2 linked regions of the Cricetulus griseus genome follow. The protein of the gene in region 2 binds, or shares a complex with, the protein of the main gene of each other region. Links are inferred from orthologs where the notes say so. Each region holds a gene or a part of one and is shown on either strand. Other genes may lie near its edges.

What was found.
Region 1: the proteins of Cab39 (region 2) and Strada are in contact, whole or in part, in a crystal structure (PDB 3GNI), measured with the Homo sapiens proteins. The link is inferred for Cricetulus griseus from reciprocal best matches to the Homo sapiens genes CAB39 and STRADA. Residues at the interface, in NP_001124321.1 of Homo sapiens: Leu26, Glu27, Lys28, Gln29, Tyr55, Gly56, Thr57, Asn58, Ala85, Asp86, Gln88, Leu89, Phe92, Glu93, Lys96, Arg107, Glu138, Leu141, Ile145, Ser176, Thr177, Phe178, Asp179, Ser182, Asp183, Glu221, Asn222, Tyr223, Val224, Arg227; in NP_001003787.1 of Homo sapiens: Pro64, Leu104, Glu105, Cys107, Ser108, Asn109, Val112, Gln116, Leu119, His120, Lys123, Leu124, Phe125, Asn126, Thr136, Phe137, Ile138, Asp140, Asn141, Leu143, Tyr185, Met189, His223, Gly224, Arg226, Val426, Asp427, Asp428, Trp429, Glu430.

Annotation. Positions count from the first base shown.
Region 1 is NC_048600.1:119,104,905-119,108,555, forward strand, and holds part of Strada (STE20-related kinase adapter protein alpha), read right to left. Parts: intron 2,000-3,651; coding exon 1,828-1,999; intron 1,367-1,827; coding exon 1,262-1,366; intron 1-1,261. UniProt on the Homo sapiens protein: Pseudokinase which, in complex with CAB39/MO25 (CAB39/MO25alpha or CAB39L/MO25beta), binds to and activates STK11/LKB1.
Region 2 is NC_048595.1:437,538,278-437,541,928, reverse strand, and holds part of Cab39 (calcium-binding protein 39), read right to left. Parts: intron 1,128-3,651; coding exon 984-1,127; intron 432-983; coding exon 243-431; 3' UTR 1-242. UniProt on the Homo sapiens protein: Component of a complex that binds and activates STK11/LKB1. In the complex, required to stabilize the interaction between CAB39/MO25 (CAB39/MO25alpha or CAB39L/MO25beta) and STK11/LKB1.

The DNA of each region.
Region 1 (3,651 bases), on a different chromosome or scaffold from region 2:
TACGGAAAGAAAGGTAAAAGCCCTGAGCTCAGACAAAATGTACATAAAGCGGAACAGATTAAAATACCAGCTAATATAAGGCCACACATTCATAAATCATAAGAAGTCTCTGTGCCATAACCTGGGAGCTGGTTGGTGACCCAAAAGAAAACGCCTGACATCTACCACTGAGCTACACTTCCAGCCCAGAGTAGGCTTCTATTCCCACTCTTTATGTAGTCAACTGCTATTAGCTTTTAAGGCTAGACTAGGGGCTGCAGAGATGGCTCAGTGGTTAAGGAAGCTTGCTGCTCTTACAGAGAACCTGAGTTTGGTTCCTAGCATCCATGTTGGGTGGCTTTCAAGTGTGTGACGCCAGATCCAGGAGCTCTGATGCCCTCTTCTGAACTCCTTAGGCAATGGCACATGTGCACACAAATTTTTTTTTTTCTTTTAAAGTCTTAGACAAAGTATTTTCACCCCCTAGAAGTTCCTTTGGTCCCTGCTGACTCAATCATTCTCTAGCTTCAACCTGTGACCCCAAGGTGAGCAGTGTGTGAGCCTGAGGAGGGAGGCCTGCTCACAGGTTTTTACCTCCTCCTAGTTCTACATCTTGCTCCAGGCACCTGAGATTCAAGTAACACTTGCCCAGACAATCCCAACTCCATTTCCTGGGTATGGTAGGACCTGAATAAGTTTCTTCTCTAGGTCTGCCAGTCCACGAGCAGGCTATGCCACTGGCCTGAACGGTGGCCAAAAGGCAGGCATGTTCAGGGGTCTACAGAATGCAGGTTCTACAGTGTGTTTCAGAGCACAGTGCACACAACCAGAGATGCCTGGGATTTGAAACTGAACGCTGATCTTTTGTACTTATCAAGGGAGAAAGATAGGACATAGCTGATGAGTTTATAAGGATCGGGCAGCTTAGCTGGGCATGGTGGTACATGCCTATAATCAAAAAACTTGGAAGCTGAGGCAGGAGGATTGCTCTAAGTTCAAAATTGATCAGCAGTTTATACAGTTTGCATAGCCATACAGTATCATGTGTTAATGTGCCTCTGTCGGCACTCACTGTCCTACTTGCCCCACCCTATGGGTTGGGCTCTGTGACCACAATATTTATCACCAGAGAAGGGAACAAAGAATTGCACAAACACCCCTCCACCAAGTGGGTGGAAAACTTCTTGAAGAAAAAAGACCATCATGTTATTAACTGTAGTCAGAGTCCCAGTGTGGCAGGAAGCAACAGACATTTGTGGAAGGCAGACAGGACTGCACTTACCTGAGTGGCAGGCATATCCTTGAAGGGGACATGGCCATTAGCTAGTTCACACGCTGTGATCCCCACACTGTAGATGTCAGACTTGGCATCATAACCCTGAAGATTCTAAGAAAGAAGAAAAAAGTCAAAGGTGGCTCCATTTGCAGCCCTGGCCTTTCTTTAAATAAGAAGGAATAAAAACTGAGGAGGCGATGAATGCCCATCCCAGTCAGGATCCAGAGCTGACCATGCTCCTCCTTCTGCTGCAGACAACTGCTATGTGAGGACAGCAAACGGTTGGCGCTGCTGTGAAATGAGCAGGCACACTGGAATGGGTGCACCTGCTGGCACCAAGTATTTCCAGAATGCTCTCTACCCACAGGGTGGGAAGTGTCCCTGAGACAGACACTAGTGTCAAGTTAGGGACCTCACACATCCACAGCAGGCAGGCAATGCCCATGCTGAGTGGGTGCTAAGACACACCTGGCCAACAGGATGCTTCCTCCAGAACCTCTTACTCTACCAGAATCAGGGAGAAACTCCACCCCAGCAAATTCTTGGGCCTCCCTGGGCCCAAGGACACAGACCTGCTGGAGGACTTCTGGGCTGAGCCATGGCAGGACCTTGACGCTATATTTTGGAAAATCATGGACCGCACGCTGCCGCTGCCCGTGGCTGATCATGCTGAGGTTACTGCGTAGACCAGACAGGTAGACCTTCCCATCCATGGAAATCAGAATGTGGCTGGCCTTGACACTCCTGAGGGGGAGATGAATACATGTGCATGCCCAATGCTCTTGGACCTGGCCAGCTCTCCCCCATGTGCAAATCCCATGCATATAAGTGCAACTCATACATACATACATCTATGGCCATTTTCAAACATACCTAAAAATAAGAAAATAACATGGCCCCATTCATGTACCACTAGATTTTGTTTGTTTATGTTTATTTTGTGCATGGTTTTGAGACTGGGTCCTCTCTGTAACCTTGGCTATCCTGAAAACCACTCTGTAGATCAGGATGGCCTTGAACTCATAGAGATTGACCTGCCTCTGCCTCCAGAATGCTGGGATTAAAGGTATGTGCCACCACACCCAGACGTTTAGGTTGGTTTTTAATTATGTGTACACGTATCTGTATGTGAGATGTGCAATGCCCAAGGAGGGCTAGAAGACAGTGCCAGAGCCCCTGGAGTTGGAGTTATAGTCCATAGTGAACAACCCAATGTAGATGCTGGGAACCAAAAAGTCTTCTGCAAAAGTAGTAGACTTTCTTACCCACTGAGCTGTTTCTGCAGCTTAGAGATTTATTTATTTTTTATTTTAGTTATGTGTATGGGGGTGTGGGAGTGGGTGTGTGCATGTGCCTGCAGGGGCCCGAGTTGTCAGATCTCTTGGAGCTAGAATTACAGACAATTGTGACCCACCCAATGTAGGTGCTGGGATCTCTGTGCTCTTAACTGCTACTCCAGCCCTATGAGATATATATATATATATATATATATATATATATATATATATATAATTTTTTTTTTGAGACAGGGTTTCTCTGTAAGCCTCTTTGGAGGCTGTCCTGGAACTCGCTCAGTAGACCAGGCTGGCCTTGAACTCACAGAGATCTGCCTGCCTCTGCCTCCCAAGTGCTGGGATTAAAGGTGGCGCCACCACTGCCCAGCTTATATTTGAAAACTTGGTATGTCGCTAGTATCAAAGCACCCTCCAAATGTGTGTCTTTCCCCCACACACTGAGAGATTAGTGCTCTCACCCTCATCAGAGAAGTCTCTGTGCCGGGTCCTGACTAATACAGACACTCAAGCTGGTCAGTGTGGTCAGTTAGTGTCTATGGGGTGAGTGCTCAGCACAAATGGCCATCTCTATCACTCTCCTCTCACCGAGGCTGGGGACCATTGCAAAAAAAAAAAAAAAAAAAAAAAAGGATGGAAAGACTGTAAGAGCAGAGGTAGGGAAGAACTGACCAAAACAGTGTCCTCTGGACACATACGACCACTGCACTCATGAACTCACGGAAACTGTGGCTGCCTGAATAGGACCCTAGCATTCTAGCATGGAGGAGAGAGGCGCTCAAGAGCCTCTGCCCCTAACTGACAGGCTGATGGCTTCTGGGGGAGGGAAAGTCAGTTTTATTTAACAGTGAGGCCCCTGGCGTATCAGCCATGTTCCGATAGATAGTCCCAGCCAGCCTGGAACTCATTATGTAGTCTAGGCTGTCCCCAAAGCCTTAATGCTCTGAGATCTGCTCTCTTACAGGCATGCACCACCATACCAGGAGGACTAATGATTTTTGTTTGCTGTGTAGCCTTGGTTGTCCTGGAACTCACTCTGTAGACCAGGCTGGCCTTGAACTCACAGACATCTGCCACTCGTGCTCCAGCCTGGCTCCTACTTGT
Region 2 (3,651 bases):
AAATGGAGTCTGTGAGTTCTGAAATGACACAGAGATCAAGGGAAAGACCATGTGCGCTCTAATGTGCAAGCAGCAGCTACGTTCTCCAACCTGGACTGAAAAACAAAAAGGTAAAATGAAAACCGTTCACTTAACAGCAGATTAGCAGTAATGTTCCTCATGAATCGATAAGAGTGCCTGATGCTGAGTAGCTAACAGCAAGTGCTGAAGTTGGAAGGGATATCATAGGCGTTTATTGGAAATTAGGCTTCTTGCTGAGCTGGTCTCTTCAAATCCCTGATCTGTTTGACTAAATAGGTCTTCTCATCATTGAACTGCTCGTCCTCCGTCCTGTCGTTCTGAAACTTGCTGAGGAACTCAATGAGTTTGGTCTGGTTCTTGAGGAGGATGTCTAGGATGGGCTGTGTCTTGTTGGGGTTGGCCACAAACACCTGCATAAGAGAAAACCGTGTAGGTCCGAGAAGCAGTCAACATCCACCCCACAAGCTCCTGGTTTTTGCTTTAGAAGAGCTTATTTTTACATGATATGGGGAAATAATAATGATCACATGCTTTAGCACAGAGATTGCCAACTCTGAAACATAGTAGTTAGAACTAAATACTGATACCACCCCACCCCAACCACACACATAGCCCTCCACTAAGCATCACAAAATACTCTGCCTGGGCCTGGCCCTCACTTCCTCACTCAATCGGCCGCAGAGAGACTTGGAATGGGAGGCCAGCCTAGATGGGCGGGGGAGGAGGGCAGCAAGGGAACCGCTGTCTCTGAATAACCTTGGGTGCATGCTGAAGATAATGAGGCTCCTCTCCGACTGTGCTTGCTTATTCTCAAGCCCAAATGGTCCGCCCATTTCCAGGTCCCTGCTTCCGTTCAAACATGCTGACTAAACTGAGTACCGTGTGGGTTACTGAAACCAGGCAGTATTAGTAACTGTAATGAACAGTTTTAGAGGAAAGCGCTGTTTGTCAGTGCAGCCCACCTTGAACACGTGAAAGGCCTCAAACTGGATGTTTCGGCTCTTGTCTCGGAGGAGGTTCATCATTAACTTGAGGTTCTCAGGTTTACTGATGTACTTCGTCATAATCGTGAAGTTGTGTCTATCTAACAGCAGTTCACCGAGAAGCTGAGGACACATTTAGACCATTGCATTATTATTAAGACTTCAGTAACAAACAACAACCCATCTTATAGTCATTGTGAGACTAGAGAGACTGGTTTGAAAGTGAACAAGACAATAAATAACCACTACCCAAGAAAGTGGCCAGAAGAAAGGGTACTGGGAATTTCTGTTCACTGATCTTAGCTTCCCCCTACCTGTTTTAAATTATATTGAGCAGGGCTTTCCAAGTTGAAGCGTGTTGTCTCCTAAACACATGCTCAGGTTTTCACACTCTCACACCTGCCTCACAAAGCAGTATGTTCAGAGGAGGTTCCTCAACACATTCCTGACTGTTAAGGAGCCACAGCATCGAGCTGAAACCACTTCTGCCTTGATATACCATATAAATGTACAATGTGCAGGTTTTCCTCCAAGTTGCTCTCATACTGAGCTCCAGCTGAGCCCCACTGTGTCAACCACATACATGTTAGCAGGCATCAACATCCTCCTTGTGAACAGCAAGGCAGACAGTAGGGCATGTCCTGTGCCAGCCTGCCTGGGTTCAGATATGTAACCCTAAGTGTTACTTGCTTTCTTTGTGAGTTAGTTTCACCATGTACACAATGAGGTCGAATAGTACTGAACTCTGGAGAATGCAGTGAGAAACTCAAGTGTGAGCGCCTGGGAATATAAGCACAGAACTGTGCCTGATAGGTGCTGGGTCCCAGCTGAGCTCTAGTATTTGACATTTCTAGGTAAACAGCTTCTCATCATACAAAAAACAAACTCCAAAAACCAAGACTCAAACCCTGTGGGGCTGCAGACCCGGCTCAGTGGTTAAGTAAGAATACTCGCTGTTCCTGCAGAGGTTCCTCTCACCCAGGTGGGCTGCTCATGACTGCAACCGAAGCTCCAGAAGGTTTCACTGCTCTCTTGGTCTCCTCCAGCACCCACACTCATATCCCCACCCCCAATCTGTTGTTCAGGAAAACAAATTGATTCTACCTGGGATTCATGCAGAATTTATAAAACTTTTGTTTCAGGCCAGCAAGACGGCTCAATGGGTAAAGGTGCATATCAAATCTGACAGCCTGAATTCAGTCCCCAGGACTCACATGGTGGAATGAGAGACCTGACTCCCCTAACTTGTTCTCTAACCTCCATATGCGCCCTATTCCCCACATAACATAAGTGCAATGTAATAATTCTTTTCTTTTCCCCCAAGACAGGGTTTCCAGTGAGTCCTGGAACTCACTCTGTAGACCAGGCTGGCCTCAACTCAGGAGATTTTCTTGCCTTTGCCTCCTGAGTTCTGGGATTAAAGGCATGCACTAGCAATGTGATAATTTTCATATTTAAAAACTAACTTCAGGCCTCATACCACTCTGAACATATAATTACTAATTTTCACGAAAAGAAGTGGCCTGCCTGTGTTCTAGGGAGACTCACAAGTGGGAGCTATGGGTGCAGCTCTCACTGTGCTCATCTCTATTAGAGAACTAAAAGCATTATGAAGAAAGACTGGCTTCAGCTGAGTTATCCAAAAGATGACTATGCAGAAGACGACTGGGAACTCAAAATCATTTGGACACTGAGAGTTAAGTTTTACTTGGGAATATAAAGTTGCTGCCAACAGGGAAATAATAGTGTTTCATCAATACAAAATCAGGTACTTTTGAGGAATTCTGAGCAAATGGAATTTAAAATACATCCAGCAAAACATTTAAATGAGATTCTACATCCTTGCAACTCCACCTCCAGTTCCCTGACAGAATTGAATGTGTTGCTACATATTTAATAATCACCATAAGAACATACAGAGGCCAGCAGTTGTTCTGTAAAAGGTCAGACAACACACATTTTAAACTTGGTAGGCCATATGGTCTCTGTGACAACCACTCAAACCTGCTGTTACAGTTTCAAACAGCCAAACATGATGCATAAATGTCTTGTATTCCTATAAAAATGTATTTACAAAACCAATCATTTGGCTGAGTTTGGATTCTAGGCTGTGGTTTGCCAGTTGCATGTGTGTGGTTTACATGCATGCTCATGTGTATATACGCACATGGATGGATAGGTAGGTAGGGGTGTGTGTGTGCGCGCGCGCATGCACCAATTTGTTTAGGCTGAAGATCAATACTTGTCTCTTCCTTAGCCACTTTCCCACTTGCCATATTGAAGCAGAAAGTCTGATGGTTTAATGTAGCAAGCCAGCTTAACCCTAGGATCCTGTCTCCACCACCCAAGCACAGGCTGATTGCCACAGCTGCCCAGCATTCACTGTGCGTGCTGGGTACTAGGCCCACTGAGCTACATCTCCAACTTCTTAGTTTGCCAACATTTGTTGAAGACTTCCAGTCTTACATTTAGCATGTTTAAGGTTCAAATGGGATTGTCCATATCCTGTGTTGATATAAAGCTATGGCATTTCAGTTTCACTGCTCACATGTTGGCCCCCAACCTGCCAATCTATACATTTGGTATACACCCACAATGCTTTATCTGGCTGGCATGAATTCATTTAAAAGTATCTTTCTGAAAGGCA